Arabidopsis thaliana: one gene and its partner. The protein of the gene in region 1 interacts with the protein of each later gene in a biochemical or structural test. Each region holds a gene or a part of one and is shown in the gene's direction. Other genes may lie near its edges. The genes, in order: AN and SUB.

Region 1 (15,809 bases):
AATAACGAATAAACACAGAAAAAGGCTTTTTACTTTCGGATTCAAGAATCAAAATCTATTTTTTCTTATAGAAATTCTCTAATCCGAGGAATCAAATCTTGCATACGTGTAAAGAAAGAGAGAGAGAGAGAGAGATCGACCTTCATTGCTCTCAGCTTTTTATGTAACTTGAATGAATTCTCAAGAATTTGCAAAGAGATGTGAAAAAGATTTGTCTGTGAGTAAAAAGAGAGAGAGAGAGAAATGAGAATAAAGAAGAAGAAGAATGAAATAATAGGAAACTTATGAAGACGATAAGAGAGATTGGACACTGATCGTTATTAAAAAAATACCCAAATCCTGACAAATACTGGAGAGATTAATAGAGAGAAAGATGCATGCAGAGAGAGAGAGATCAGTAGTCTCTCAATAATGAATGAATGAATGAATGAATGGTACGAAAGAGAGAGAGAGAGAGCGACGAGAAGAGATCTCTTTGTTTTCGTCTTTGCTTGTATGCGCGTGAGATAAGGCGCGTGGTGTTGTGGCTCAGCGTCATTACTTTCGGTCCTTTGGTTTGTGTTTGTTTCCTTTTTTCTGACCCTTTGAAATTTCTTTCTCACCTTATCCACGTCATCTCTTCTTTTATTATCTAAATCGAATTCCTACTTTTTGATAAAATACGTTTTTCGTTTTTGTATTTTAAGGGACCAGAATATAGTAGTATGAGTTTGTTGTATTATACTACACCACTCGGGAGTATCAACGAATTTTGTCATTTTCATACAATGGTGTCCAGAGACTTATTACAACACCTTAATTAGGTATGCTTATCTAAACTTAATTCGAATCATTCAAATCATAATACTTTATATTTTAACTGTTATGTTTATCAGTCTATGCATCTAATTGGCTCTATATATATATATATATATCATTTATTTTACTTGGCACATGATAATATTATGTTTGGCTTCAGCCGAATAAAAACATGCTGTAGAAAAAATCTATTAAAGAATTTATCAAAAATAAAACTCAAATTTTTAATAGTTTTGTAAATGATTTTTGCTTTTGATCACCAATCCATCGATTAATACGAAATAAATATCTTTAGTTATAATATAAATGTTGGTTGTTTTTTGTTGGTAAAAACATACTGTAGGAAATAAATAATGTATACAATCATTAAGAAAATATTGAAACACTCAAATTGTCAATATTTCTTATTGCATTTTTATATATAAACTTCCATTCTATGATTGATTTATTTTCTCAAGTTATATGTATACGAAGTACGTTGTCTAATAATTGAGTCCTCGCTCCCACCATCGGTTTGCCAATCCTACACGAATTTGATTCTCTAAATAAAGACAAATAATATTCTCCAAGCCACACACAAAAAAAAAAAAAACATACATTAGTAGTGGGAAACAGCTGCATATTCCACGTGTTTGCCCACGTAGATTAATTATTATTTCTCTTTAATATTTGACGTCCACGAAATATATATACAAGTGGATTGTGTTTTTGGCTAGCGCGTGAGAACACGCAGCAAACTGCGAGTAGAGGAAACGAGACGTGATGAGATTTGTGTAAATCTGGGCCACTTAGAGTGGGATGTGGGACCTATTACTCTGATGTACAAATTCTATGTATTTTGTTATTATAAAAAAAGGCGGCTTAATAGTCAATTCTTACCCTTACGTTGATCGTACCATCCTCATCTTCTGATCTGGACCGTCGATTCTAAGCCTTCAGAGGACTTGCATTGCATGTAGTAATTTGGCGATGAATCAAAGAGTAAACACAATTTGACCTAAGTACTCATTTATTATTTTCTGGTAAACTTTGACAAAAAAAAAAAAAAAAAAAGAGAATTCTATAAAAACTTTTGCTTTATAGTTTGACCAAAATTGAAAATGCTCTATAAAAACATTTGAAGCTGCTACTAATGGAGTTGCTTGTTTTTGACAATTAAAGTCTATTTTTGTTAACTTTCAGTTTATTATCTAAAATATTTTTTTAATCTTATCTTAAAATTAAAGTGATGATGTTGCTACAATGCTACTTAAGAATATATCAGACAGTGTTTTTATATGTGGAAACACGTACAATTGGGGACAATATAGTTATCTTAACTATTTTAATTAGTTCACTATCATAATTGCACACTATATAATCTAAGGCAAAATAAAGCGTGTTATCAGTTAATTAACCTCTAAATAGTAAAAAAGTCCATCGTCAGCGTAAAATATGATTATGAATTAAATGTTAACTAAAAATTACGAAATGTATTAAAAAAGTAAAACCAATCTTACAATTGGAGGATCTAAAATACGATCAATATCATGCTACGTGGTGCAATTAAGTGACATAAAATCAACTAAGTAAACCTCCGACACGGATCTTGAGTTGCGGACATACACATGAATTGCAAAATCTTTATTTCAGCTAAACGTTAATTAAATATTGATGTCAGATTAATCTTATATATGAATGTTACTTTATGATTATATTCGCCTACCTAATTAAGTAATTAGAAAGTGAAATGACAAGCCCCAATCTTTTCGGTGTTAACAAAAAGAGGATGAAGAAGAAAACATTATAGCCGGCCTATAAATATATATCCAAAGTTAGTCCAATTTCTCCGACAAGATCTAAAATCGAACGGTGAGGAATCCTCCAAGGATAAAAGTTCAACAGCTGATAAATTTTCTCTTAAACCATTGAGAAAAAGAACATCTACTAAAGAATGTAATAGCTATGATTAAAATTAATAATTTCCGTACGGTCAATGACCCGAATGAGTAAAATGATGTTGCTTTCTGAATCATTATTTACTAAGATCTAAATGTGGTCTGCTTTTTACAATTATACAAAACTATATATATCCATAACTTTTTTGCAAAGAACCATATGTAGTTGACGAAAAAAAAAAGTGGTCTAACATGATTTGTAGCAATTGAGCTGAGTCCATATGATTTAAGCCCATTTAACGGACTGTGTGGAATTGATGGCCCAGTTATTAAACCTTTTTTGTTTGTGTGGAAAAAGCCAAAAAAAACTGTCACACGTGCGAATCTCACAGGTGAGGAGGGTATTTTATCCTGTCGGTTTCTTCTTCTTTGACCCCTCCGTAATTACCTCGTCTTCAATCAAATTATAATTTTTTGACCTTTTTTTACCTTCGAAAATATCTGAAACCCTCAAAAACCTAAACACAACAAACAAACAAACAAACAAAAAAGTTCCTGTTCGATTCCTCCTCTCATTCATTCTCTGCTTGTTCCTCAAATCCTTCAATTTTCTCATCAAATCCAGATTTGCGAATTTAGGTTTTCTTGAATCTAATCGTTCTCGATGATTTCGAAAGATCACCTTCATCATCTGGATCCTCTGGGTACAACCAAATCGTACCACATGAATACCTCCACCGTATCGCCGCCGTCTCCGGCATCATCAATTTCGTTGTCGCAATCGGCGTGGCTGGAGGTTCGTTTGTTCTACGTCCGTATCGCTCCTTGCGTCGTTGAGAACGTCCCTGACTTCCTCACCCTCCGTCACCCTCGTCGCGAAACCGGTGCTTCTCTTGAGGTTAACGGCGTTCGCGTTCCTTCGTCGCAGACGGCGTCGCTTAAACTCCGCCGTGACAGAGTCGACCGGGAATCGTCGGAGGTGACTTACGTGAGCACTGAGACCGTTCGCGTTACCGGATGCGTTGATTTCGAGGTTTATGATAACGAGGATATGGTCTTGTGTGGGAACCTAGATAGAATCGAAGGTGCTTGGAACAATGGAACTGTGAGTGATCCCAAGACTGGATGGGGCATGGATTGTTACATTGCTATGGGAAACGGACACGTGTCAGGTCCTTCTGCCTCTGTGTTTTTCCAGCCAAAGTTTGGAGTCTCGTCTCCGTCCGTCGAGGTTTATATAGCTGGTTGTTGTGGTGGTGTCCCGGTGATATTGACCAAGACGATTCAGGCGAGTCCGAGGAGGAAGGTGGCTAGGCACGTGACACTCGACGCTATCCCTGAGGATGAGGAAGTTGGCAAAGAGCAAGACATTGGTACCATTGGTGATGAATTGGCCCGTCAAAGCAAAGTACAGGTATGATTCTGATTTCACAATTCTCTGTTTGGTGATTGTCCAAGCCCTTAAGTTACGATTCTTAATAACTTGGGATTGAGATTTGAAAAGGTTGCTTCTTTCGTCTAGTTTTGTGAGTTATGAATGCTGTAGCAGATATTTAGTTATTAAGATCACTCGCAAGTTTCTGGTGAATTTAGCTCCTGCTTGAATGTTTTCTTTGACTCTACAGCTGAATTTGAAAATTGTAGAATTGTTGACTGATCAGAAATTGAGATATGGATATAGGTCAATAGACTCTCTTTGCACTTTTTTTGGTGCTTTATCTTGTTTGTCGTTTCGTTTATGCAGATGATGGAATCAGAAGTTGATGAATACGATGACTCAGATATGAAAATGGCACAGAGATATTACCCTGAAGGAATGTACGTTGATGAGGATGGTCAGCTCTCATGGTTCAATGCAGGAGTCAGAGTCGGAGTTGGGATAGGCCTTGGGATGTGTCTTGGTGTAGGCATTGGAGTTGGATTACTCATGCGTTCGTATCAAGCAACAACTAGTAACCTTCGTAGGAGGTTTCTCTGATCATCACCTACCATAAACTAAAAACCCACTTAGACATTTCGAGATCTACTAAGAATGTCGGTAACGTAGTGGGTTATAAAAGAGATAGAATTTTGGTAGATAGATGTATAGAGCTTTTGGTTTTCACCTGTTTGTGTCCTTTTGAATATATATATATATTCGGCTCTGTTCATATACTTTAGTAGCACAAAAGAGAGTTCCCATCTTGCTCCAGTCATGTTCTTTTGTTCTTTCTTTTCTCAAGTCTGTCTATGTCGTTGCTCTTGTGTAGAAAGAGATTTCGTGTTATTGTTGTTGTTGTCAAACGCTGGAGTTTGTCTTTCGGTTTCTGGTCAGGAAATAATGTGGAATAGGGAATGTACATGTTTCACCTGTATTCAGTATCTGTTTGCAATTAGTAAATTAAATTATTACAACAAGCCAAGTGGAAGACGGCGTCGTTTATCATAAATGTCAAACCGATGACGTCTTATCGGGGGAGCATGAGCATTGGACTAAAAAATTATTGTCAATTTGTTTAAATTGTATTTTGGGCCCTGAAAATTATTATAAATGAAATTTAGCCCCTTAATTTTGTAAGAGTTTACAACATTGAACCCTAAATCATTATGTTCCCAAAATCAAAATTTCACTCCTCGAGAGTAGCGAGAAGAAGGAGGAGATGAGCAAGATCCGTTCGTCTGCGACAATGCCACATCGCGACCAGCCGTCACCGGCGTCGCCTCACGTCGTTACACTCAACTGTATAGAGGATTGTGCGCTCGAGCAAGACTCCCTCGCCGGCGTTGCTGGTGTCGAATACGTCCCGCTCAGCCGCATCGCCGATGGTAAGATCGAGTCCGCCACCGCCGTTCTCCTCCATTCCCTCGCGTATCTTCCACGAGCAGCTCAACGCCGACTCCGTCCTCACCAGCTCATTCTCTGCCTTGGCTCTGCTGATCGCGCTGTCGATTCGACTCTCGCCGCCGACCTAGGTCTCCGACTTGTCCATGTAGATACTTCACGAGCCGAGGAAATCGCGGATACCGTCATGGCGCTCATCCTTGGACTCCTTCGACGGACGCATTTACTCTCGCGACACGCTCTATCGGCGTCTGGTTGGCTCGGATCGCTTCAGCCTCTTTGCCGGGGAATGAGACGGTGCCGTGGTATGGTTTTGGGTATCGTTGGCAGATCTGTATCGGCTCGGTATTTAGCTAGTAGAAGCTTGGCTTTCAAGATGAGTGTGCTCTACTTCGATGTCCCAGAGGTATGTTTGTTGGCAATGTCTCGCTAAGCTTTTAATATCTTAGTGTAAACTGACTCTTTAGGGACCAAAAAAAGTGCTGAGTTCTTAGCTACTACATTCCTAAACTGCTTACTATGATGGCTCTCTTTCAAGTTCCTCTCCCTTGGATGTTATATTTGTTGTCAATAGTTGCGTTTGCGTCTGTTCAGGGAGATGAAGAACGAATCAGGCCCTCGAGATTCCCACGTGCTGCTCGAAGAATGGATACATTGAATGATCTTCTAGCAGCAAGTGATGTCATTTCGCTACATTGTGCATTAACAAATGACACGGTTCAGATACTCAATGCAGAGTGTTTGCAGCATATAAAACCTGGTATGAGTTTTCTTGTCAAATGAAATTTGATTCTCCATGAATGTGAATTGAAGATGAACTTCTGCTTTCTCGCATTCCCTTCAATTCTGGTTGATTTTATGTATTAGGGGCTTTTCTTGTAAATACTGGAAGCTGCCAGCTGTTGGATGATTGTGCTGTGAAACAACTTCTAATTGATGGCACTATAGCTGGCTGCGCCCTTGACGGTGCTGAAGGTCCACAATGGATGGAAGCATGGGTATGACTTTCTTTTCCAGTGACTAAACTTCACATTTGCGCCTGCCTATTCTCTTGTTTCATCATCTTCTTCTGTTGTTTATCCTGCATCCATTATATCTTGTTTTCATTGCAGGTGAAGGAAATGCCAAATGTGTTAATTCTACCTCGCAGTGCAGATTACAGTGAGGAAGTATGGATGGAGATAAGGGAGAAGGCTATCTCTATCTTGCATTCATTTTTCTTAGATGGTGTAATTCCAAGTAACACTGTTTCTGATGAGGAAGTTGAGGAAAGTGAAGCAAGTGAAGAAGAAGAACAATCACCTAGCAAACACGAGAAATTAGCAATAGTGGAATCCACCAGTAGGCAACAGGGAGAAAGTACTCTCACCAGCACTGAGATCGTACGTAGAGAGGCTAGTGAGTTAAAAGAATCTCTGAGCCCTGGTCAGCAACACGTTTCTCAAAATACTGCCGTAAAACCTGAAGGAAGACGTAGCAGATCCGGTAAGAAAGCCAAAAAGAGACATTCACAGCAAAAATACATGCAAAAAACGGATGGTTCCTCAGGGTTAAATGAAGAAAGTACTTCACGAAGAGATGATATTGCTATGAGTGACACAGAAGAAGTATTAAGTTCCAGTTCTAGATGTGCTTCTCCTGAAGATTCCAGAAGTAGGAAAACACCTCTTGAAGTAATGCAAGAGTCTTCCCCAAATCAGCTTGTAATGTCAAGTAAGAAGTTCATTGGAAAGTCAAGTGAGCTACTGAAAGATGGATATGTAGTAGCCTTGTATGCGAAAGACCTCTCGGGCCTCCACGTTTCCAGGCAAAGAACGAAAAACGGTGGCTGGTTCCTCGATACTTTGTCCAATGTATCCAAACGAGATCCTGCTGCACAATTCATTATCGCATACAGAAACAAGGTAAACCTTTTTCTCTCTCTTACTTTTCATTTATCTTGCTTACAATGCCAGATAGACCATTATAAATTGGTTTTGGTGCATGAACTTGTTTTCCAGGACACTGTTGGTCTGAGATCATTTGCTGCTGGTGGGAAGTTACTGCAGGTAGCTCTTACATTAGAGAGTGTTACTTCCATTGGTAACTCAATGTTGCTCTTATGGAATCTAAAAGTGGTTGTGTCATGGGTGTGTGTGTGTGCAGATCAATAGAAGAATGGAGTTTGTGTTTGCTAGCCATAGTTTTGACGTGTGGGAGAGTTGGAGTCTAGAAGGTTCTCTGGACGAATGTCGGCTTGTTAACTGCAGGAATTCCTCTGTAAGTCTCTGTCCTTACAGAAAATGGCCCGAAATTGAAAAACCCTACTTCTTGGAAAACAGAAATAATTTGTGTAATGAATGTTGCAGGCGGTGTTGGACGTTCGTGTGGAGATATTGGCAATGGTAGGAGACGATGGTATCACACGTTGGATCGATTAAAAAGAAAAACAGAGTCTCTCCATTTGTGAGTTTCTCTCTTTTAATTACTTTTGTTACTTTAACATCCTTAGGATTCACAGACGAAAAACAGAGACACCCAATTTTTGTGTTTCGAGACTGTGTCGTGTGTTGTGTAGTTGGTATCAACCAACTTATATCTGTAATCATTGTTTCTTTTTATTTATTCTCGGTTTGCAGAAACATCCGATGAGCTTGTCTTAGAGGGACGTTTGTTGTTGTTTTCTGGGTCTGGTCGTGATGAACTCGAAAGCATTGTGTGTTTGGTTAGTAGTTTGAAATAGGTGTGTGTATTGTATTTGTATATGCTGCGTTTGTGTTTTAGAGATCATCGTACATAAAACACATCATCGTACATAACTAAAATTTGAGCTAAACTACAAAAGAAAGTAACCTTCATTTTTAGTCGAACCAGGCCCCAGCTAGGCAGCTATCTCGTAAATAAGATTGCTGGCTTACGATCGTATTCCACGTGGCAATTTATGTGCCGTGGATTTAAATTTGTACGTGGCATGAGTGTTAGGAGAATGTCCACATGGCTTGTAGTTGTTAGTCCCACGCTCTGAACCAGAGCAACCGGCTCCTTACACGTGTTCGGCTTAAATCCATTTTTCGAATGAGATTACACTTCTAACCTTGTCTCCCTCTCCCGCTTATACCACCACCACTCTCACACAAGTCTCTCAAGTCACAAACTCTGTTTCAAACCAAAAGGGAACTTTGTGTGTGTTGTCGAGTTTTATGGTGACTGTAAACCCTAGCCAAGCTCATTGTTTGCCTATGAAAATGAGTCTACCGGGTTTCAATACTCTTCCCCACACGGCAACAACGATACCGGTTTCCATACGGAGCAATAGGACGATGTCGTTTTTTGAGGATCCAACAAAGAAGGTTAGAAAGCCTTACACTATCACCAAATCTAGAGAGAACTGGACGGAGCAAGAACACGACAAGTTCCTTGAAGCCCTTCATCTGTATGTTGACACGGATTTCACTTCTCTGCCTTCATTTATCTGATTAATGATATATAGAATCTTTGAGATTTGTTCTTCTTCTTCTGATATGATCATGTCTATTTGATTGCAGATTTGACCGGGATTGGAAGAAAATAAAGGCCTTTGTTGGATCAAAAACAGTGATACAGGTAATCAATCAAACATATGCATTCCATACTTTTGTCTGAAGTTACATATAAGTAATTTTATGAACTCTGTTCTTTGGGGTGGAATTGGAGATATAAGTTCTATGTATGTTGGATAGTAACTAGAATATTGGTTTTGTAGATACGAAGCCACGCACAGAAGTACTTTCTCAAAGTTCAGAAGAATGGGACTAAAGAACATCTCCCACCTCCTCGACCAAAGAGGAAAGCCAATCACCCATATCCACAAAAAGCTCCTAAATGTGGCAACCTTAAACCTTTTATCTTTCTACTTCCGCTTTTGTTACTTTATCTCATTTTCTCATGGTTATGTTTTTGATGCAGTTACTCTTTCTTCTTCAAACGCATTATTTCAACATGACTACTTATACAACACTAATTCACATCCGGTGATTAGCACCACCCGTAAGCATGGATTAGTGCATTGCGATGTTAGTATACCAAGTTCTGTTATCAAAGGTAAAATATGTGCTTAAGTTTGCTGTGTGGACTAATGTAATAATCTGAAGATATTGCTTGTTTGAGTTGTTAATAATGTGGGGTAATGAATTTGTGATTGTAGAGGAATTTGGTGTCTCAGAGAACTGTTGCAGCACTAGTAGTAGTAGAGATAAGCAGAGGACTAGAATCGTTACAGAGACAAATGACCAAGAAAGTTGTGGAAAGCCACATAGAGGTAACAATTTTGCTTGAGATTCCTGACTTTGTGATATTCATATACTGATTATGAGTTTGTTTGTTTGATGTTGGTTTTTCAATTCAGTGGCGCCAAATTTCGCTGAAGTTTACAATTTTATAGGAAGTGTGTTTGATCCTAAAACAACAGGTCATGTCAAGAGATTAAAGGAAATGGATCCAATAAATCTTGAGACGGTATGAAAACCAATAACTCTGCACATGAACATGTCTTGATTTGAAAACTAACGTTTACACGGTTTTTTGTTCAACAGGTTCTCTTACTGATGAAAAATTTATCTGTAAACCTGACGAGTCCCGAGTTTGATGAACAAGTAAGAGCTAGTCGACTCTTTGTTACATTTTGACTCTTGAGAATATTGAAGAGTAAACAAATTTTCTCTGTTTATTACAGCGGAAGTTGATATCATCTTACAACGCCAGTTAGAACTAAACGATAGAGAGAAGTCTCTAATGGTAGTCTCATGGGATATGAATGAATGAACCGGTTGTACATATAAGTCTCAATAGTTTAGAACGTCTTAGAAGACAGATAAAGCCTGTGTAGAAAGTCACTAGCTTTTTTGTAATATTCAGTTGTTGCTTAGGTTTTTATACGGAATGGACTAATGACATAACTAGTTTTGAAAATTACTTCAGATAAAGCCTGTGTAGAAAGTCACTAGCTTTTTTGTAATATTCAGTTGTTGCTTAGGTTTTTATACGGAATGGACTAATGACATAATATGAAACTTCATATAGCTTACTCATATTCCACAAGAAAATGATATAAAGCTACAAGACAAAGTATAACGAAAAGAAACAAGAAACTAGTTGACTCGAGACTTAATTAAAAGCCCGACAACAACAACAACAACAAACAAAAACAAAACAAAAAGCAGAACAAACTATTGGAGACTTAAAAAGTCACACAACGAGAGAGATAGACTAATAGTAACGAGCCCAATACTGAGGATGGACTTGTTTAACCTCCTGGTTTTGGAGTTGGTAACTGTTGTACCCAGCTGGTGTGCGATTCATAACATTAAATCCAAACGGCAGTGTTGGAGCAGAAGTAGAGTTTCCGTTTTGATCAAAGAAACCATGGTTTGTGGAGATATTACCACCACTAACAGCTGCTGGAGCAGCAACATTGCTAGAACTTCCAACATAGAAGTTTAGGTTTCTATGATGAAGTTGAGCGACTTTTTCATCAACTTCCTTCTTCAAAGCTTCAAGATCACATTTCATGGAAGTTGATTGAGCTAAGTTGAGTTCTGTTGGAGAGTTCCTCCACCACTTCTCAGCGTCCTTGTTCTCTCTTTCATTTTGGACTATTGACTGCTTGGTCTCTTGTTCTTTTTCTTTTTCAGCCATCACCTAAGATAAAATTGTATTTTAAACAATTAATTTCATGAATAATGAATGTGTAAAGAAAATCCGTGAATCCATGACTATGACTTAAACAAAAATTGAACCCACCAAAATTTTCATTCTTAATTTACTTTGTTGAGGAAATAAATATGCAAAGGAGGTTTACCATTTCTTTTACAAATCAAAAACAAATTGTGAAACACTTATATAATAATTTTTTATCTAAATTGAAAAATAAAAGAGAGAAGAAATAAAGATTAGATAATGCCAAAACTTAAAACTTACCTCAGTTAAAGACTCATTGAGCATTTGAATACGGAGCTTTGTGCGGCTTTCAGCAAAGTTTGTGTTGTTGTGTCTTATAACACGCCCTAAAGAGTGGTCAAGTAACTTGTTAACATTTGGATGACCAAAAGAGTATGCTTTTCCCGAGGGTGAAAACACGATTATCGCAATTTCCGCGTCACATAAGGTGCAAAGTTCACTGCCTTTTTTGAAAAGACCAGATCTTCTTTTTGAAAACGTAACTTGAAGGTTTGATTCGTTGGTCATTTTTACCAACTCTATTTTTCTACGACCAAGATTCTTTCTCGCCATTTTCGAGATGTTTTGAACAGAAAAAGAAAAGCGAGTTGATTATATTAGAGATAATAGGTATTTGTATTTATAGACTAAATTTTACAAAATATGTTTTGAGCATTGAAAGAAAATATTTTTTTCTATAGTGATTTATAAGAAACAAAATTATGAATTACCACTCTAGGAGTATATATTGGTTTACAAATTTCGTCAATAAAAGGTATACAATATTCTATTTTATCTCCAACATTATCATTTTTTAAAGTTTACAGCCTGTCAATTTTTTAAAATATGGGAAGGATATCCACAATTTTCTTAAAAAATATTTTCCATGTGTTTATTTTCCACTATTTTTCTATAATCAATATCCTTTTTGATCTTTTATATTTATTTTAAGTGTTCAAATTTTTTATATAAAATTCATATAGTGTATATATGAAATATTATGTCCAACTTACTTTTGTTTTTATAGAGCAAATTGACAAAATAATATGATTGAAAGTTGATAAATGACATGATTGAAATTTTATGTCCGACTTTCCAAGATTTTATTTAAGTAAATAGTTGTTTTGATATTTTAATTGATCGCTGACTTTTCAAAAAAAAAGTTGTGATAATTAAATTAGATTTAATATGTGATACACAATTTGTTATATCATCTCTGAATATAGTATACTTTTACACAATTTGTTTTGGGCCGTGATTAATATAGCCCATGATCGTTACCTAATGGGCTATGTTTCTCTGCCTCTAATTGCTTGTTATACATGATGATGATATATTGATAATCTATAACCTATATACCTCTCCTGAAAAACGAATTTTTAAAAATGTATACACTTCTCATGTTTCTTGTTATATCTTTTTCCTTCTTGTTACAATTTATCGGTGGGAATCAAATCTGATTGGGTTCCTTTTTTTGGTCGGTAATGGTATTCAATAGTCAAGTATGTAAAAGATTCTAGCATATAGATTACAAGTCTTAAGCCCAACAAGGAACCAAACTAAAACTGATTAGGGAAAACTAAGTAAGATTCTATAAGCTAGAGTTTGTACAAAAACAAATTCTAGCCCAGGTAATGAAATATCCAAATGCAAAAGACAACATTTATTAGCTCAGAATCTACTTTTAAAAAAGCCCAAATACCACATATCATAAGCTTGCACTTCCAAACGACTCTAAAGTCTAAAGTCTAAACCAACCATCGCCGCTGATCATTGACTTATTGGCATACTACAAAATTTACTTGTTTGGAGCAATAATGGGTTTTCTCTTTTAGCCCCACCTAAACCCTTTTTAGGAGGAAACCTAGATTATACGTGGCCACACTAAATATTATTCTCTCATTAATTGCTCTACTTTTAAGAGCCAACCAAACTTTTTGAAGACACAAATATTATGAAATAGTAATACATTTGACCTCCGAAGTTTCAACGAATGATCTACACAATCCATCGTGTCAAAGATACAATTTTTTTATCCACCATTAAAACTGTAACAATACAACATTACTCATAACATTGACTTTCAGGATAATCAGGCTCTTCATCACCTTGACTTGCAGTTTCAGTCTTTTTATCTACTTACTGCATATATGATATGAGAAATCCGATTTGTGTGTTAATGTGACATAAACAAAAAAAAATGTTCTTCCTATATATATAACAAATATTTTTTATGAACAAACCAATAATAATGTGTATCAGAAGCAAACAAATGATTTTTTGGTGCACTCATGTTCCCATAACAAAAGTGATTAGTTTCTCATAAAGTAAACTCAATAATTATTCCATGAGTATGTTTATATCCATATAAAATTTGCAATTAAATAATCAAACGTCAAGGTTCAATTATAGTCAAAACAAGAACGAAAAACTAACCAATGTGTAATCCACAGATTGGTTAATTGCACTGAACCGTACCTTATCATACCACCCCAACGGCTATCGACATCGATTTATTACCAAAAAACTCCTCAAAACTATATAAAAGACTCTACTATCTTCCACTTTCCATAAAAGGGTAAAATAGACATTTCGGGTAACCTTCTCTCACCGTCACCACACATGCAATTACACTCAGACAGGAACTCAAAAAGACAGCTCATTCAATTACATCAACACAGATCACTCCAAAGCCTTTCTCTTTAAATTCGTTATCGTTTTTTTTATTTTATCAATTTAATCTTTTTATTTGTTTTGTTCTTCCTCGATTCAACACTCGATGCTGTGACAAAGCCCAGATTTTGGCCGGAAAGTTTTGTGTGTTTCCGGCGAAGAATGCGAAGAAACCGGAAGAATCTGTAACGGAATCTAAGCTAAAAGTTAAAGTACGATGTCGGTGTACGACGCTGCTTTCCTTAATACAGAGCTTTCGAAACCGACATCGATTTTTGGTCTCCGGCTATGGGTCGTGATCGGAATCTTACTTGGATCTCTAATTGTCATCGCACTCTTTCTTCTCTCCCTCTGCTTAACTTCTCGCCGGAAAAATCGAAAGCCGAGAGCCGATTTCGCCTCCGCCGCCATCGCTACACCGCCGATTTCAAAGGAGATTAAAGAGATCGTTCCGGCGCAGAATCAGTCTGTTCCGGCGGAGATCCAGGTCGATATCGGGAAGATCGAGCATCGAGTGGTGTTTTCAGATCGAGTGTCGAGTGGTGAGAGTAGAGGAACAGCGAGTGCAAGTGAAACGGCGTCGTATTCCGGTAGCGGGAATTGTGGGCCGGAGGTGTCGCATCTTGGATGGGGCCGATGGTATACTCTGAGAGAGCTTGAAGCGGCCACGAATGGGCTTTGTGAAGAGAATGTAATCGGAGAAGGTGGTTACGGGATTGTGTATCGTGGCATTTTAACTGATGGAACCAAAGTCGCCGTCAAGAACTTGCTTAACAATAGGTACTTCCAAATCTTCAATTTTGATTCTAAAGATTGGTCCTTTTACTCTGTTTCTCAATTTGAGTTTTAGGTATTCTTTGATTTTGTATTGGTTTCATTCTAAATATTCATCCTTTACTCAACTTCTAGATAAGGGATTTAGGTATTCTCAAATTTCCGATTTGATTCCTTTACTCGTTTCTAGATTGGGGTTTTAGGAATTACCAGTTGGGGGTTTTGCAATTTGCGTAATCAAAGAATTTTATTTGTTGTATTGCTTGGTATTGAAGTTTGTCTCTGTTTCTCTACCTCGTCATGTAATGTGCTTAGATCCATTAAGTAAATGCTTGTGGATATTTATGTAGATGGTTAAGAGTGATCGTGATCAGAGTCCTTCTCTTATTTAACTGCATTGCCTGTGAGTTGTGGTCCTGAAGGTTGTTGTTATTATTGAATTCTATGTATGTATAGATTATGTCATTGGTCTCATGTGGTTTTTATGGGTAACGTCTTTACTAATAATAGCACTATGCTTCTGGATTTTGATCTATGTGATCTGTAACATTTCTAGTTGGTGTGTCTTTGATTGCCAGGGGTCAAGCAGAGAAGGAATTCAAAGTAGAAGTGGAAGTCATTGGGCGAGTACGACACAAGAATCTTGTTAGGCTTTTAGGGTATTGCGTGGAAGGTGCATACAGGTATATATACCGCTGCTCGTATCTCTTTTCCGGTGTTACAAAAGCGATGTCGTGACCTAATGCTGGGTTCGTTACTATAGGATGCTCGTGTATGACTTTGTCGACAATGGTAATTTGGAGCAATGGATTCACGGTGATGTTGGCGATGTCAGCCCGCTAACTTGGGATATACGTATGAATATTATACTGGGGATGGCCAAAGGGTAAGTCTGGAATAGCTTTTGAGTTGTCCTCTATGTTTATAAGCTATTGTTGTGTGTAAACCTTTGTTATATCTGTAGATTGGCGTATCTACACGAGGGTCTTGAGCCAAAAGTTGTTCATCGGGATATTAAATCAAGCAATATCTTACTTGATCGCCAATGGAATGCTAAGGTTTCGGATTTTGGACTTGCTAAGCTCTTGGGGTCTGAGAGCAGTTATGTGACTACTCGTGTGATGGGAACTTTCGGGTAAACTATTAAACTCATTAACTCTCTCCTGCAATCTGCAAGGCAGTCTTTAGGAATG
Region 2 (17,534 bases), 3.5 Mb from region 1:
ACAATTGTTTATTCAGCTCGACGAGACTTTTTTCAATAATATTTCATGTAAATGGGCCTGTACTAAGATTTCTTGTGCAAGATCCAACACCAACAACACTTGATGAGAATTAATCAAACAATCAGAGAAAACATACATTAACCTAATTAATACCAACATTAGAGACCACTTAGCTCGTATATCTATCATCAAATACGAGGAGAGATTAAACCAAATTGAGAGGAATATTGTTTCCTGTCTTATTCTGGTTTTAATTTTGGCTTTGATTGGTGGAAAAAAAGAACTCAACGTAATCACTTTTTTATGCTTAGACATGCAGTGTTAGTGTATACTTTAGGATTAACTAATTACTGTACTAATTAAAAATAATGATCGAATCACGCCTGTCTTTAATAGGTAACAAAGTGTTGATCGTGGCTCAAAGATTCTGCATATATTTTCTTAATTACTTTAGTAAACAAAAATTCACTATTCTCCTCTCTTTGTAAGTTTTTCGAGAAAAGCTGAGCAATAAAGGACAACATGTGTGTCCCCGAAAAGTTACAATTTTTTTCCTTTCTTTTTTAATTTCTCTTTAAATCCCAAAACTTTCACTTTCTCACATATTAACCCCACTTGCTTCCTCTCTTCCTTCTCCTTCTTCATCTTCTTCCCTCATCTCTCTCTCTTCTCTGTATCAACCCAAAAACGAAGAACATTGAAGCTTCTTTACTTTCTCACACATAAATGAGAGACCTTGAGCACTTAAAGACGAACCTCAACCATCAATGGCCACCTATCGGAGCTCCGATGAATCTCCGGCGAGAAGAGCCGTGGAAATCTCAGTTCGATGACTCAGTTAACGCTGTCTCCTTTGGATTCGTCGCAACGGCTATTCTCATCTCTATGTTCCTCGTCATGGCTATCTTCGAGAGACTCATTCGTACAACCACTACTTCAACTACTAACTCAGATTCCTCTTCAAGTCGGGTCCTTCCGGGTATGGATTCTCGGGTCGGGTTTAACGGTGCTGCTACTAAACTCGGTTATCAATCTCCCAAGGCAAGTACTTTTTCACTTTATTCTTCTCTAAAAATAATTCATAGAATAAAGTTCGTAACACACAAATTCCTTAATTGTCGCATTATTGTCTACTTACTGTTAATTAAATGTTGACACATTTTTGGCTAATCTGATTTTGACACTTAGATGTTAAACTTTGGTTTTAGATGTTAAAATTATTGTTTTTCCTTAATAGCTTCGAAATTTGTATTTAGTGAAGCAAATGTTGGTTAAAGAAGAAAAAAGCTCGAGTCTTTTTGATTAATTATGGCTAAAGGTTGCAATTTTAATTATGGAGTAATTTTTGATTTGATGTGAACACTTCATACCAAAAGCAGAAGGAGAAAACATCAAAAAGTGTTGATTCTGTGTACTATTTGAGTATTGAAAGAGACCCAACATTGCACATGCTTATACATCATCAAAATTAAAGATGTCTCATAAGCTTCCTTACTCACACATGCAGACACTGTTGATTGTGTATATATATGTATGTATGTATAAATGGTGATGCATTCATTGATCTCTTTCGTCATTTTAGAATTTCTCTGTTTTTCTTTTGTCCTTCCTATTAATGAATGACGTAGGAGACAACAAAGAGGTGTAATAAAGTTTCGTTTGTTGAGGATTGATTCGTTTGTAAGTATTGATGTCGACGCGTATAATACTAACTATGCGTGTTGTAGATGGAATATGAGGTCTAAACGTCAATGTCTGAAACCATGTGTGCCTGATATTTCCTAGGAACACAAATGGCCCCACAAGTTTTCTTGAAACCTAACATTGCTCCTATTTTAGAGTCTTTATTCTTGTTTTTCATCTTCTTGAGTAAAGGTTACATAGTTTCATGTTAGTTGTAGTGTTTGCTTGACTCTAACCTCATAGAAGACTAGAAGTAGGACAGAGTTGATAGCCTTATTTGTTGAGACTGATGATATTTCAATCTATATGTGAACTTGAAGGTAATAACAGAATTGTGTTTTCTTTTTCGTTTAACATTTTAAAGAGTGAATTATTCATTGTCATAATCTTGAGGGTAATAGTTTCTTGGAGAGTTCTTTGTTTCTTATATCCTTAGTTGTAAGGTTTAGCTTGACTTTGGTACTCATGTCTATTGAATCCCACTCAAGATAAAAACTTGAATGTGTTCTAAGAAATGGTATTAAACTTGGATTTAGTTCTTTTTCCGGATATTGATTATTGATGAGAGGCTCTTGTTACACACTTACACCTTATGTTGTGTTAGATACAGTAAATTTAATTAAAAGACTGATTGACAATTATAGATTGATATGAGATGGATATGGAACAAACCATGTGTTGAAAGAGTAGATAGAACCATTCAAAAACATGTGAGGACCCATAAATGGTAAACTTAAGACCAAGTGTGTTTCGCCCTTTTCTTCATTCTAACCTGAGTTGCTGTTGGGGAACAATGACACATGTTTTGATCTGTCATTGTCTTCTCCCACTCAAAACTCTCATTTGCTTATGATTTGTTATCTACCTCATCAATCAAAATTCTTTGAGAGAATCTCTGCTTCTTCTATGTGTTGAATATATGTTGTGTTGTTATTTATGTGATTTTTTTTTCTTTGTTTTGCAGATGACTGTTTACTCAAACGGGGTATCTGTATTGATGCCAGGAGATGATATCCCTACGTTCATTGCTCATCCAGCTCCCGTGCCTTGTCCTCCTCAAAACATCTCACAGTCTCAGCATCAACATGGCTCATCAAAGGATTCCTCCAGCTCAAACTCCATTCAAGAATGTTGAAGATTGTTTATTTATCTCCATCACCATTCACCATTTGGCTTATTTAACATTTGAGCGACCAACCACATTTAGTTTGAGTTGAGTTTGGCATCAGATGTTTTTGTTTTCTTGTATTGTTCTGTTTTTTTTTCTCTCCTGATGATTTCGCTACATGGATTGGGTTCGGGGAGATTATTTATCTGCATTTTGTGTAAATAGCATTAGGATCAAAAACTGGTTTATGCCCTTTTAGCTTATAGCCTTAAGCGTATATTCAAGATTTGACTTGGGTTTATTTTGTTTCTCTGCTATTTGCTATTTAGTATGATGACTTGGTTGCAGAGAAGAAAAGAGAGAGTGTGTTATTTTTTTCTCTCTAAGATATGGAACTTTCTGTAAGTTACATAACTCTGAACCTGAGGTCATGTGGAGCTGATTTATAGTACGTTTAAACAAGAACTTGGTTATAAATCTCAATATCGGGAAATTGTAAAACTATATGTAAGAAGATGCAGACGATTTTATTTATTGGAAACTCATGCTATTTTTTCTGCCAGTGGTAGTTTTGGATCGAGATATGATTAGTGGATTAGGTTTTCAATGGACTAGAGATCTTCATGTTAGTGAGTGAAGAGTCTGAAACGTGTTGGGATTTTGGAATGCAGACATAACTCTTTTGATGTGCAGTCACCAATCAATGTGGATTTCACTGTTATGTTACTAAGGTAAATGGTATATACAGTTTTCTTTTCGTCTAGTCATGTGAATGGTACTTGTGTCATATGTTGTACTAGAATGATATTTAGGAGAAGTTGACTCATACTAGTGTTTGGCATGTGTGAATTCGAGAGTGTACATACATTTGCGTCACAATAATGGAAATAGAAATCATAATTTGATGAACGAGTTTACCAGGGGAACCAGTATCAGAGTCGAGATTTCACCTTTGGATTGACTCGAAATCACATTCAGTCATTCACTGATGAAATTGTACTTTTTGTCAAATGTCATATGTACAACTATATGAAATATTAACTTGTACTGTTTTACACGTTCAAAATCACACAAATCATAAGAAAATCTTTAGACCATGCAAATCACACGGAAGCAGTATTTTTGTGCATAACAATTATACTGGTCATGTTTCTTAATTTACTTCGACTGTAGTTGTGTAGTTAACGACTAAACGCATTGGTTCAACAAATTATGTAAAAAAAAACTTAACTCTTTACTGTTAGCTTTTTCTCAATAAGACATTTTAAATGTAAAAAAATCGACTAATTTACATATGCTAGAGACATAGCTAGATTTTGGTCTGCTTTTTCAGGTTACAACTATTTCTTCGTCATAAAACGTTTTTGGTTTCACTGTTATAGATAAATAAATATAAAATTTTGGTGAAAGTAATTAGTTTCTCACTAGTCTAGAGCAATCCAAAATATTGCCAATAAATACCCAAAAACTCTCTCATCATATTCACTCTGCTGCAATCACACAGCACCAAAAAGAGTTATCTGCTATCCACTTAACGACACCGTTCTCTGTTATGGGTTGTTGCCTCAGCTCCGCCACCGCCGACAAGAAAGATGATCCTGTCTCCGGCAAGAACACCGCACGGCCTCCATCTGTTATCGATGAAGAGACAGTAGTCAAAGAAGTCTTGTCCGAAACCACATTGCTCACTTCCTCTAACGACAATTCGACGGTGGAGAAGACTACGTTGACAAAGATTCAAGAAGAAGAGGAGAAGAAACCCGGGATTGTTGTCGACGTTGCTCAAGAACCGGTTTTGACCAAGCCCAGTTTGGTTGAACCGGAAAAAGGATCGGAGGTTTCGGAGAATTGTAGTTTAAGCGAGAGTTTGCTTTCGATCGTGAATAAGTACGACGAGGAAGAAGTGAAGCAGATGAAATCTCATGTAGTGAGACAGAGATCTCCGGCGAAATCTCGGAACCGGGTCATGGTTAGTTATCCAAACCGGAGAACCGATATGTCTCCACGTAAGAGAAACAACGAAGAAGAAGCTGGCTCGGTGAGGCTGGTTCCGTCGGCTACGGGTACGAGAGACTCGACTGAAAGATCCGAGAGAAGGTCTAGATCGCCGGCGATGAACAGGTCCGTCATGATGGGCCCAACTCGGAGTCAACAGAGTACAGACAGTTGTGGAGCAATGAGGAGACAAAGCCAGTCTCCGGGTCGGGTCAGACTCAATCCGAATATGAACGGGTCGGATCAAGAGTGTAATCATCACAAGTGGCCGGGTTCTATTGGAAATTACAATTCTGCCCCTAACGACTCGTTTGAGAACCCTCTTGTTTCATTAGAGTGTTTCATCTTCCTATGAGATAATGTATCTTATTACCGAATTATCGCCGGAATTTACAATTTCGAAGTTATTTGATCTTAATCAGTTTTCACATGCTTCGCCAGTTCAGAATCTGTTTGGTTGTGGATTTTGAAAAATACTAAAATGTTTTTCTGTTTTTGATTATAAAAAATGAGAAATTAAATTGTATGATGTGTGAGTAGGGTGGCAAAAGATTTGCTTCCGTGACACCAATTATTATATATTTTCTGACAGTCAAAATCAGACGCAAGCAAAGTCACGTAACTTTGACCCCAAAAAGAAAGTTACCATCATACACTAAATTCAATTCACTATGATCGTCCGAACCAACAAATTTCAAATAATGTATCATGAATATTTGAGTCTTCATCTTTTATACTCAAATAGGCTAAACTTATTAGTAATTTATTTATTGTATTATCGTCTAGAACTAATCCACGATTTGAATATGCTGTGTGACTTATAAAATCAAAGAAAATACTTAGTTAACATAAGTGTATTGGTTTAGTTTTTTCCTATATTAATAAACCAATACTCTTCTTTATTTCAATCAAAATGTAGTTCTTTTTTTTTTTTTACATCAAAATGTAGTTCATTTATAATTGGTTTAAGACTTGATTCATAGTGTAAAAACAAAATAGTTATTTAGTTTTACATGAACCATTAGTAGGTTCTAGTTTGTGTATAAAATAGTTTATTTGTTCTACAGCCTTACTTAACTATCTTAGTTTATATTCAATCGTGTAAAACAAAACTGGGATCCTTCCTTTTTGGTTACCATAGGTATGGAAGTAAAAGTATTTAGGTGTTGTTTAAAAAGTACAAAAATTCGATTTTGTGGTTTGTCTATTAGTAAATCATTCAAACGTTTTTTCTTTTTTTTTGATAGCAATTTTATTATTATTCTTTTTACTTTTATAGGCTCATCTTTTGGAGAGAGCATTGTAAAGATTATGCTTTTCTTAACGCTTTCTTGTTTGTCCTTTTGCACCCCACATCACACGTTAACTAATTTATTGGATGAATGTTGAATAATTTCCGCCGAGAGAAAAAAAAACAGGCTTCAATAGTTCTGTATCATACTTCAAACTAATTTAGAAAGTTTGAGTGTATCATACTTGTGTATATTGGAAAATGAAAATGGAACGAGACAATTCAATAGTTCTGATCAATTTAATATTTTCAAAACGATCAAGTGCATAACAGCAAATTGTATCCAAGTATCGTCTAACAAATTCTTTTAAGTTCTTTTTTTGACTTTTCATAATCTATAGAACTTTTTCTTTGAAGCTTCTTGATGTAAAATGGTAGGGCGGAAAAAGCTAGGGTGATGTAAAACCAAAACTTGAACCAAAATTCGTGTAGATACGTAACTAGATTTGATTTAAATAAATAAAACATTCGTTATGTGCCTTGGATCCTCTGGCTAACGGGTGACCATAAAGTAGTGTTGCATTCTTTAATTTTGTTTCGCCTTTTGCGTAATGAGAGACCATATTATAAAATAAAGCCTAACTTTACAATATCTGTATTTTTTCCTCGACACTCTTTTTTAAGAGACCAATAGTTTGAATTCATTATCATGCATCTTCCAATCTCATAACTAATTTGGTATGCATGTATAAGTGCTACAATCATTATTATATGGGGTTTCTGATTTTTTGAAGTACAAGAATCAAAATGAATCCAACCTGATTGGTGTAGTTTTGGGTCGAGTTCGGTCGAAACAAAAATTTGATTCGGTATTATTTATTTGATTTTGGTTCGGTTTATTATGGTTGGCACTTGGCATATTGGTTTTGAAAAAAAAAAATGTTATCATGTACGATTTTTTTTGGGTGCAAAAAAGCATCATGTACGATAGTTTTCTACTTTTCTTCAAAGATTGAAAGTAACCGTTGCAATCTCATTGCATTATTAGGCCTACGAGAGGTATCTTCTTTCAAGTGGGCTTTACCATTACACTATTGACCAAGTTTGGGCCACATTTGGTTTGAATAGCCCATAAGAATGTGGTTTTTTTTTTTTAACTAGTCGCAACTTATTATCGTGTATGGTGTGAACTTGATTGATTTTGACAAGCCAAAAAAATCGATTGATAATTAATTGATCTCGACAAAATAAAAATCTAATATCAACACATAAGCTCACCAAGCATGTTTTATTCTTTATTGATCATACAATGTATGTTTGCTGTTATTATTCGGGTTGCAAATAATTTATGTGAATATCAGAACTTCAGAAGTAACTCCTACCAAAAAAGGAACTTGAGAAGTAATCACATATGAATATCGAAGTTACTCTCATCTCAAATTATGCAATGATGGCATTCCATTAAATTACTACTATTGAATTGTACACAAATCCTCCATCACATCAACCAACAAACAAAGAATAATACAAATTAAGAATATATTCCAAAGAAATTGATAAATAGTGATTGTTAGTTGTAACTGTAAACACAAAACCAGAATTCTTAATTATTAATAGAAAAACAAAGGTTTCGAATGGTAACCAAAATGCACCGTGCAATCATACATATAACATTAGTTAGTTATTTTTAGAATATATTGAAAAGATAATTATTGTATAATTACTAAGTATATTCAATTTAAAGTCGTAAGAAAAAACCCTTTATTGGCTCTAATTGTTTAAAAACATATATTAGGATTCACTAAGATGTATAATTGAAATCAATTTCCAAACCATGTAAAAGTACTAGTTTTCTCAAATAGTTTGTTGCTATTAGTTTGTTACTAAAACTAATTCACACATTTTTATCACCAAAAGAGCAAAAATGGACGTGGGATGAATATGATGATATTTTTTTTGACCTTGTTGTAGGGTCTCTCACTCTCTTCTTCCATTAAAGAATTCTCAGAGCTTTTCTTACTTCAACTGTTTTCTTGGCCCATCTCACTGAAATAAGTGTGATAAACTCTGCCTGTTACATTATTTGGATTTTAATAGGTGAAGTAACGGAATATGTAATCTACATCAAAATAATATTCACTTCTATCTCTCTACCTTATGGCATTAGAAAAATCCAATTATTACATGAAAGGAAACTATAGTAATTAGATGAAGCATAGAAGCGACAATTAAAAGACATAAAGAGAGACAAGTCTTGGCAAGTTTTCTCTGTTTCACACTTTGGAGACGAAACCTTAAAGGCTTAAAACTGAGAAAAACAAAGCCGTTGGCTTTTGTAAGCCGCTCGTTCTTCGAGACAAAACACACTACACTCTTTCTCTCTCACTCACTCTTCATCTCTTTTCTTCTTTCTCTCTCTCCTAAAAATCCGACGAAATTATGATTCACTTTACCTTTTAATCAGGAATATCCCTGTTTCACCCTTCTTCTTCTTCTTCTTCTTCTTCTTCCTCGTGTTTTTTTTCCATAACATTCCCTCTGAATCTTCGTTTTTTATTGGAAAGAAACAATCTAATCCAAGTTCAAGGGTTTTCTCATCTTCAGTGGCTGAAGTTATGAGCTTTACAAGATGGGAAGTGTTCTTTGGTCTCTCTGTTTTAGCCTTGACAATGCCTTTCTCAGCTGGAGTTACTAATCTACGAGATGGTAATAATCTTTCTCTGCAAAGTTTTTTTTATTTGGATTTTGCTTTGACTCTCCTTCTTTTGGTTTAGTGAACACTCTAGATTTTTTTTAGACTTGTGTCTAGTGAAAATGACTTACATCAGTTTTAGGGTAAACTAGGTAAGCAATATAGCTGTTTGGGAAGCTCCAGATTGGCAAAGTTCTATGATTTTGAGGCTACCTCAAAAACCCTAAAAAGTTTAGGTTTTTGACACATAAGCTCTTGTTAGGGTTTTAGTTCAAGACCAAGAAATTTGTTCTTATTGTTCTTCATTAAATGGTTATCATAAGAAAGATTCTTTAATCTCTAGAAATTTTACTTTTTGATGTGTTTGTCTGTTGTTTAATAACTTCTGCAGTTTCGGCGATTAATAACTTGTATATCACTTTGGGAGCACCATCTCTACATCATTGGCTTGCTTTTGGAGGAGACCCTTGTGGAGAAAAGTGGCAAGGTGTGGTGTGTGACTCCTCAAACATCACAGAAATGTATACTTCCTCTTCTGCTCTTGTAACTCTTTGTTATGGTTTGCTTTGAGTCACCAATTCAGGTTCTAACCACGTGAATTATTGTTGTTGGCTGCAGAAGGATACCTGGCATGAAGGTAGGTGGAGGCTTAAGTGATACTCTGGCTGATTTTTCATCTATCCAAGTCATGTAAGCAAAGCTTCTTGTCTTGTTTTCTTTCATCTTCATCTTTTGTATGAGGCTTCTTGCTATGTGAAGAACATGCAAGATGTTGTTACCATTGACTATAAGGTTTGGTTATAATCTTGAATTGCTTTGTGATACTTTTTCTCTCTTCTTTGTTTGAGTGGACAGGGACTTCAGTAGCAATCATATTTCAGGGACAATTCCGCAGGCTTTGCCTTCTTCCATCCGAAACCTGTGCGTTTGAGAATTGACTATGTGTATGGCAATACTTATGTTTCCAACAGTTAAAAGACACTTCATGTTTGGTTTCATTTTCTTGTTTCAGATCTCTCTCAAGCAATCGCTTCACTGGGAACATTCCCTTTACATTGTCCTTTCTATCCGATTTGTCTGAACTGTAAGTCTTTATTAATGTAGATACCGTTTCTTGCATCTGCGGTTTTTCCTCTGTTTGAAGCAGACTCTTTCTTTTCCCTTCAGGTCATTGGGAAGCAATCTTCTATCAGGAGAGATACCAGATTACTTTCAGCAGCTATCAAAACTGACAAAACTGTATATTTCCTCCTCACTAAGTCTCATTTTGTATCCTCCCATCAGCGTCTTTCATTTATACATTAAGTTTCTAATGCAGGGACTTATCGTCTAACATACTGGAGGGGCATTTACCTTCTTCCATGGGAGACTTAGCTTCTCTTAAGATATTGTAAGTGCACATATATGAAACCGTATACAAACATTGTTATCATTGCTTTTATATGTGATGTGGTCGGACTGTAGGTATTTGCAGGACAACAAGCTCACAGGAACACTTGATGTTATAGAGGATCTTTTCTTAACCGATTTGTAATCGTTTTTCACCTTGCATACTCTTTGTTCTTGACTCTCCAACCATTAAGCCAACTTCAGTATCTCACTATGGCTTTTCATATTTTTGATTCAGGAATGTAGAAAACAACTTATTCTCGGGACCTATACCGCCAAATCTATTGAAAATTCCAAACTTCAAGTAAGTATTACTAAAAGAAAACTTGAATGTTTTTTTTTTCCTTTTCTTTAGCCATTCATGTTACATTGTCATTATAACCGCAGAAAAGATGGAACTCCGTTCAATACATCGATTATAACACCACCGCCTCCGCCTGTGGTTGATCCTCCTCCCGCTACTCACCGTGCTCCTCCTGTTCCCCGTATCCCTCCTGTTTCTGGTGTTCCCCCAGCACCTTTTGCTCCTTTTGCTCCACTGCAACCACAACAACATCCACCACCATCACCACCTCTGGTCTGGTCACCACCTTCTTCTGATAATGGAGGAGGAGATCCCTGGAACTCTGTGTCAGGGCAACCTACCTTGCAAATATCACCTCCTTCAGGTTCAGGATCAGGAAAATTCTGGTCCACTCAAAGAATCATTCTAGTAGTTTCTTCAGTGGCCATAATTGTTCTTGTATCCGGTTTGTGTGTTACACTTTGGAGATGTTGCAGAAGTAAAATATATAACCGATATTACAGTGGAGCTCGTAAAGATTTACAACGACCATACTTCAATAAGCCTCCATCTCAACCAACCCCCACTATGGGAAAAGGTACACTGATTCTTTTCCTTCCAAGAAAAGAAAAGAAACTTGTGCTTTGGCTCATTACCTAACGGCAAACTGCTGTGGTGTTTTCTTTTGTTGCAGTTTCTCGGGAGCCTATGGTTAAGCCTTTCGATGGATATGGAGCTGGAGACAGGAAATATGGGTATCCAATGCCACAGCGGGCTGAAGAGAGCCGGAGAGCAATGCCTCCTACTTCATATTATAATAAGGATGTTAATACACCTCAAAAGCCGCTGCAACAACCACCGAGGCAGTTCCAGTCCAATGATACTGCTTCAAAGAGAGCGGCTCATTTCCCCCCGGGCTTGAATTCCTCATCTTCTGCTACTGTTTTCACCATTGCTTCACTTCAGCAATACACAAATAATTTCTCAGAAGAGAATATAATCGGGGAAGGGTCGATTGGTAATGTCTACAGAGCTGAGCTTCGTCATGGAAAGGTGTGACACTTTCCTCTTATTTGTCATTTGGTCTTACAGTATTTTATGCTGTGCATTCTTATTTACGTCTTGACACGTTGTGATCTATAGTTTCTTGCGGTGAAGAAGCTGAGCAATACCATCAACAGAACACAGAGTGACGGCGAATTCCTCAATCTAGTCTCCAATGTGTTGAAGCTTAAACGCGGTCATATATTGGAGCTTCTTGGTTACTGTAACGAGTTTGGTCAAAGGTTACTTGTGTATGAGTACTGTCCTAATGGATCACTTCAAGATGCACTACATTTGGATCGCAAGTTGCACAAGAAGCTCACTTGGAATGTACGTATAAATATTGCATTAGGAGCTTCAAAGGCATTGCAGTAAGTTAAAGAACCTCAACATGTTACGCCAATCTATATTTGGAACATATAGGATCTTAGAGTTTGGTTTCAGGTTTCTTCATGAGGTATGTCAACCGCCGGTTGTTCACCAGAATTTCAAGTCTTCCAAGGTTCTTCTTGATGGAAAGCTCTCAGTACGTGTTGCAGACAGCGGTTTGGCTTATATGTTACCACCACGCCCAACGAGTCAGGTAAATTTGTCATCTTATTTTGAAGATCCCAAACATAAGAGTGAGTGTTGTAAAGGATATGATGTTTGCTTATAAAATTGTAGATGGCGGGTTATGCCGCTCCTGAGGTTGAGTATGGAAGCTACACTTGTCAGAGCGACGTATTTAGCCTTGGGGTTGTAATGTTAGAACTGCTCACTGGACGCAGACCATTTGACAGGTTAGCTACTCTAAAGAGACAACTAATAGAAGCCATAAAAGAGTCTGAACTCAAAAGTCAACATGTTCACTTATGTTTCTTATGCAAAATCACTGTACTACACTATCTCAAGACAAAACCCTGTTTTTTTTTGCAGGACAAGGCCGAGGGGACATCAAACACTAGCTCAGTGGGCGATTCCTCGGCTTCATGACATCGATGCGTTGACAAGAATGGTTGATCCGTCATTACACGGAGCGTATCCAATGAAATCATTGTCACGTTTTGCAGATATCATATCACGTTCACTGCAGGTAAACTTAACTTCATTCATCACTTAACTAGATGAGAAAGCAATGTCAAACACGTGACATCAGAATATTAACTAACCCTTTTGACTTCTGTGCATGCTTATCTTTGTCTGTAGATGGAACCAGGATTTAGACCGCCGATATCAGAAATAGTCCAAGATCTTCAACATATGATCTAAGATACACAACCTTGGACTAAGACGCAGAAGCAATAGTTTATTGTCAGATTCTTGTTCTTTGTCCTTTGATGAATGAAAGTATTTCTTTTGTATTATAATAACACTTTATGTATGTTGTTGGCTGTATGAAATGAGCTATGGGATCATCATTATGTAACCCCAATCCCATTACCGGCTCAAACATTATTCACCAACCTGATCATGTATTTAGATTCTATTTTCTGAAAAGGATAAACATTTTTTGAATCAAAAGACATTAAAATTCAAGAACAAAAGGTTGTACTTAACAGTAGTGTAAAAGAGAAGGTAACTTGTTCAACTAGCACTGTAGACAACAAAACCTAAACTTCAAATCAATCTGCTCCACAGAGGGCATGTGATTGATGCTTTAGAGTCGTTTCTCTGAAAGAAAGCTCCCGAAAGCCGTAGTCAAGGCAGTGGATGTCACGAATGAGGCTCTTAGTAAACCTATGGCCTGGATTAGTGTCAGATTCAAAAAAAAATATCAGGAAAGAATAGTAATATAGATATACATGTGTTTTGCCAATGTTGATTTCATGCTCAAAAATATCGTCCAAGTTCACATCAAACTTCTTCTTTACGCAAATAGTAAGATCATCTGAGACAATGTATGTTGCCCCTCTCTTAACTAACCCATTGCTACCATGAGGTGTCGACTGAGAACTACCGTCACTGTTTAAATAACTGACCCCAAGCAACGGTTTCTGCAAACTATATTGCCAAGGAAGCATACATGTGTTAGTAGATGCATCTGTGCCTCCCCTAGAGCTCAAGTCCTTCAAGCTTCTACAAAAGTTGCCAATGCATACTAGGTCGATATTGCTTCCAGTGATTTCCCATACAGACTCCAAAGGGATAGCAAGGAAAATGAAAAGTAGATCCACAAAAAGTCGTGTCCGCTTTCAGCGTCAAGAACCTTCATGTCCTGCTTCCTAGCAAACAGAGTGAGTCCCTGCTTCACCTCCATCTTGCGCGGGTAGCTTTGGCATGTCATGCCAACGTGTCATACCACAAGAGCTATGCTTCTTCATCATCATCAAATTGTGGAATCTCTGATCTATTTATGCCATTACGTTTTCGCACTCTCCGATCTATTTATGAAATTTTTGAATCCAGGTTCTATCTCTGCTTCATTGCTTGCTCTCTTCGGAAACTCCTTTCACTGATGTCTTTTTGAAATTGGGCCATCTAATTTTTTTGCATATAGGATGATCACTACTTGCCATAATTGCTCAAATGGCTATAGAAAATGTAAATTCTTACTGATGGAAAAATATAAACGAGAATTAAATGAGGGATCTAGAGAATTATGGGGGTGTTAAAATAGCAAATCTAATATTATTTAATTATAAATTTTAAAAGGTCTAATAAAATCTAATAAAATCTAGTGTTATTGAAAGCTTGAAAATCTACTCAAAATTTTCATGTCCTTGAAAACTTAAGGATTAGATTTTTAATGATTGTAAGAGATTTTTAAATCTTATGGCTTTAGGTGGCATTGTGGTTTTGAATGGTTTCCTTAAATCCACCCAAAATCATAAAAACATAGAAAAACTCAATTTACCTCAAATCACTCAAAATATAAGATTGAATACACCCCCTTAAATGCTTGATTTTGTTCCTTTTATCCCTTTGAGATATAAATATTTGCTCAGCAGAGAGAGATAGAGGCAATACTATTATTGATGGAGGAGGCAGAGAATCGAGTGGTGATTGCATCATCAACACAAAGAAAGAGAAAGAGAAGAAAGATAAGAAGAATAATAAAAAGAAAAGGTTAGATCAAAAATCAGCTCATGGACTGCAAGAGCACTATCGTACGCAGGCCGCCTTACTCTCATCAAATCAGTACTTGTAAGTATCACCAACTTCTGGATATCTGCTTATCGATTACCAAACAGTTGTTTAAAGGAAATTGAGAAGATTTGTGCGGCTTTTCTGTGGTCTGGACCGGATCTTAATCCCAACAGAGCTAAGATTGCTTGGACCGAGATTTGTAAGCCAATAAATGAGGGAGGGCTGGGAATTAAATCACTAGTAGAGGCAAACAAGGTTAGTTGTTTGAAATTGGTATGGAGGATACTATCCAAATCAGAGTCTTTGTGGGTTACTTGGATATGGAAATATCTCATACGAAAAGGGTCATTCTGGTTGGTTAAAGAGAGCTCCAATATGGGTTCTTGGATGTGGAAAAAGCTATTCAAATATAGAGATTGTGCCAAGACTATGCACAAGGTGGAAATTAAGAGTGGCAGCTCAACCTCTTTTTGGTTTGATAATTGGTCACAGTTGGGCAGATTGATCGATATAACAGGTCCTCGTGGAGTCATTGATTTGGGTATTCCTCTCGATGCAATGGTTGAAACAGCTCTACATCCTCGACGGCGTCGAAAGCATCGAGTTGACGTTCTCAACAGAATTGAAGCTGAGATACATACTACTCGCCAACGGATCAGAATAAATGAGAAGGACATCTCGATGTGGAGATTTGTGGGAGATAAGTTTAAGACAACTTTCTCAACAAAGTTCACTTGGAATAATATTAGAGGCACACATCCAACAGTGGTTTGGTCGAAAGGTGTATGGTTCTCTTACTCTACGCCCAAATACTCATTCTTAACGTGGCTTCCAATTCATAATAAATTAGCAACAGGGGATCGAATCAAGAAGTGGAATACGGGGCAGCATGTACACTGTGTCTTATGTACGAACACGGAGGAGACGAGAGATCATTTGTTCTTCTCCTGCCCATACTCCTCAACGATCTGGGAGAACTTGGCACATCGCCTTCTTCAAACAAACTACTCATCAAATTGGCACCAGCTCACCGCAATGCTTCACAACACAAGCACTCCCCGGCTCCACCTCTTTCTGCTTCGTTATGTCTTTCAAGCTACTCTTTACCATATATGGCGCGAGAGGAATGCTAGACGACACGGCGAGATACCTACCACAACAATTCGACAAATCAAGCTAATCGATGGAACCGTACGGAACCGTCTCAGCACAATCACAGCCACTAGCAACCATCGTTACAAGGATGGCCTGCAGCTTTGGTTCTCCACACGCTCGTCCTCTTAGCCCGAGTGTTCTGTTTTTCTATGTCAAACTCTGTTTCTACTTCTCTTCTAAATTTCAGCATGAAGTAGCATTTATTGTATAAACGTTTTTTGTTTGAATATAATTTTACATTCTTTCAAAAAAAAAAAAGAAAAAAAAAGAAAGAAGAAGAAGAAACGAGAAGCCAGTGATTGCTCCATCATCTCTGCCAAATGACGTCGTAGAGGAAATCTTCTTACGATTTCCAGTGAAAGCACTATTTCGACTCAAAACTCTCTCGAAACAATGGAGATCGACGATCGAGTCTCAATCCTTCGAAGAGAGACACTTAAAGATCGCCGAGCGATTCCATGCACATCATCCTAGGGTTATGGTGATCACTGAAAAAGATCCCCTAAAACTATTGCCTCGACCTCGTCCAGACGCAGACATTGGTTTTAGGTTATTCTGCTTGGAATCGGGTTCTCTTCTATCCTTTATTCTTCTCAATTTCCCTCAAAGTTTCGCCAACTATATCTACGTTTCTGGATGCTGCGATGGCCTTTTCTGCGTCCATTCACCGAGATCGCAAGCCATGTATGTAGTAAATCCGGCTACACGGTGGTTACGACAACTTCCTCCAGCTAGGTTTCAGATTTTGATGCAAAAGGCCACTTATAGAGATTGGTTAGACATGAAGTCAGTCTTTCATCTAGCATTCGTGAAGGCCAATGATTATAAATTAGTGTGGTTGTATAATTCTGACAAGTACAATGCTGATGCCTTGAGTCCAAACGAGGGAGTTACAAAGTGCGAGGTTTTTGACTTTAGGGCAAACTCTTGGAGAGACTTGACTTGCACTCCAAGTTATCGGATATTTCATGGCCAAATACCAGCATGTGCAAACGGGTCAGTATATTGGTTGACGGAGCCATATAATGATAAAATCGAAGTAGTGGCTTTTGATATTCATGCCGAATCATTCCGGTTGCTGCCTAAGATCAAACCGGCTATTGCTGGTTCAGATCCGATGCATATTGACATGTGCACTCTGGATAATGGTTTGTGCATGTCGAAAAGAGAACCGAATACGTTGGTCCAAGAGATTTGGAGGTTGAAATCATCAGAAGACTCATGGGAGAAGATTTGTACTATAGATTTGCTTTCATGTTCTTCTTCCCGGACTCAGTTTCGTGATGAATTTTACTGGGACGAGCAGGATTTGGTTAATCCATCCACACCTGTGGCGTTATGCAAGAACAAGACAATTTTGCTCTCACATCGCTATTCCCGCGGTCTGCTAAAATATGATCCCCTAACAAAGTCTCTAGCTTCATTTTACCAACGTCCTTTGTCTCGGAGAAAAGTTTCTTATTTTCAAAGTTTAATCTCTCATATCTAAACAAATCTACCTACTGATTTTGACGTGTTTGGAAGAGACGAGAAGAGCTTTTCTTAAAATATATACAGTATTGGGATTATACATGAATACTAGCCAAAACAAGAAGTTAGTGACTACTAAATAATGAAAGCAAAAAACAATCTAAAACTATTTTACTATATCACATAATAAAATTGTACTTTTCAATATTCATAAAGTACGTTTGAGTTGATTTCAGATTTTATGTCAATCAATCTGTGGAAGTAACAAACATTTCTTATCGAAATAAATGATCTTCTTTTTACTTCACCAAATAAAGTCGTTGATTGGGATTGACCCTTATTATGCAAGAAAACTTAAAACACCAAAACATGGGAAGCACTTAGATCATGTTATGCTCTTGTCCAAAAGAGAGAC

What was found.
Region 2: the proteins of AN (region 1) and SUB form a complex in vitro, tested with the Arabidopsis thaliana proteins (one study listed by BioGRID).

Annotation. Positions count from the first base shown.
Region 1 is NC_003070.9:181,921-197,729, forward strand, and holds AN (NAD(P)-binding Rossmann-fold superfamily protein), read left to right. Parts: upstream 1-5,224; 5' UTR 5,225-5,314; coding exon 5,315-5,902; intron 5,903-6,090; coding exon 6,091-6,256; intron 6,257-6,363; coding exon 6,364-6,494; intron 6,495-6,608; coding exon 6,609-7,400; intron 7,401-7,496; coding exon 7,497-7,544; intron 7,545-7,641; coding exon 7,642-7,755; intron 7,756-7,844; coding exon 7,845-7,916; 3' UTR 7,917-8,552; downstream 8,553-15,809. Other genes in the region: AT1G01500 (Erythronate-4-phosphate dehydrogenase family protein), read left to right, coding at 3,340-4,089, 4,420-4,653; ASG4 (Homeodomain-like superfamily protein), read left to right, coding at 8,676-8,908, 9,021-9,078, 9,218-9,338, 9,421-9,555, 9,659-9,772, 9,860-9,969, 10,047-10,139; AGL28 (AGAMOUS-like 28), read right to left, coding at 10,720-11,151, 11,431-11,742; AT1G01540 (Protein kinase superfamily protein), read left to right, coding at 14,060-14,622, 15,195-15,299, 15,380-15,502, 15,581-15,751. UniProt on the Arabidopsis thaliana protein: Involved in controlling the equilibrium between tubular and stacked structures in the Golgi complex. Required for cortical microtubules (MTs) arrangement that confers cell shape.
Region 2 is NC_003070.9:3,714,503-3,732,036, forward strand, and holds SUB (Leucine-rich repeat protein kinase family protein), read left to right. Parts: upstream 1-8,205; 5' UTR 8,206-8,632; coding exon 8,633-8,723; intron 8,724-9,066; exon of another isoform or gene 9,067-9,100; coding exon 9,101-9,230; intron 9,231-9,327; coding exon 9,328-9,399; intron 9,400-9,564; coding exon 9,565-9,630; intron 9,631-9,721; coding exon 9,722-9,793; intron 9,794-9,876; coding exon 9,877-9,948; intron 9,949-10,027; coding exon 10,028-10,099; intron 10,100-10,173; coding exon 10,174-10,239; intron 10,240-10,336; coding exon 10,337-10,402; intron 10,403-10,485; coding exon 10,486-10,979; intron 10,980-11,075; coding exon 11,076-11,434; intron 11,435-11,524; coding exon 11,525-11,796; intron 11,797-11,869; coding exon 11,870-12,008; intron 12,009-12,091; coding exon 12,092-12,207; intron 12,208-12,343; coding exon 12,344-12,500; intron 12,501-12,613; coding exon 12,614-12,676; 3' UTR 12,677-12,948; downstream 12,949-17,534. Other genes in the region: AT1G11120 (CTTNBP 2 amino-terminal-like protein), read left to right, coding at 727-1,045, 2,004-2,077, 2,648-2,818; AT1G11125 (uncharacterized protein), read left to right, coding at 4,344-5,141; AT1G11145 (hypothetical protein (DUF674)), read right to left, coding at 13,030-13,134, 13,210-13,542, 13,614-13,664. UniProt on the Arabidopsis thaliana protein: Regulates the expression of transcription factors that define the cell fates.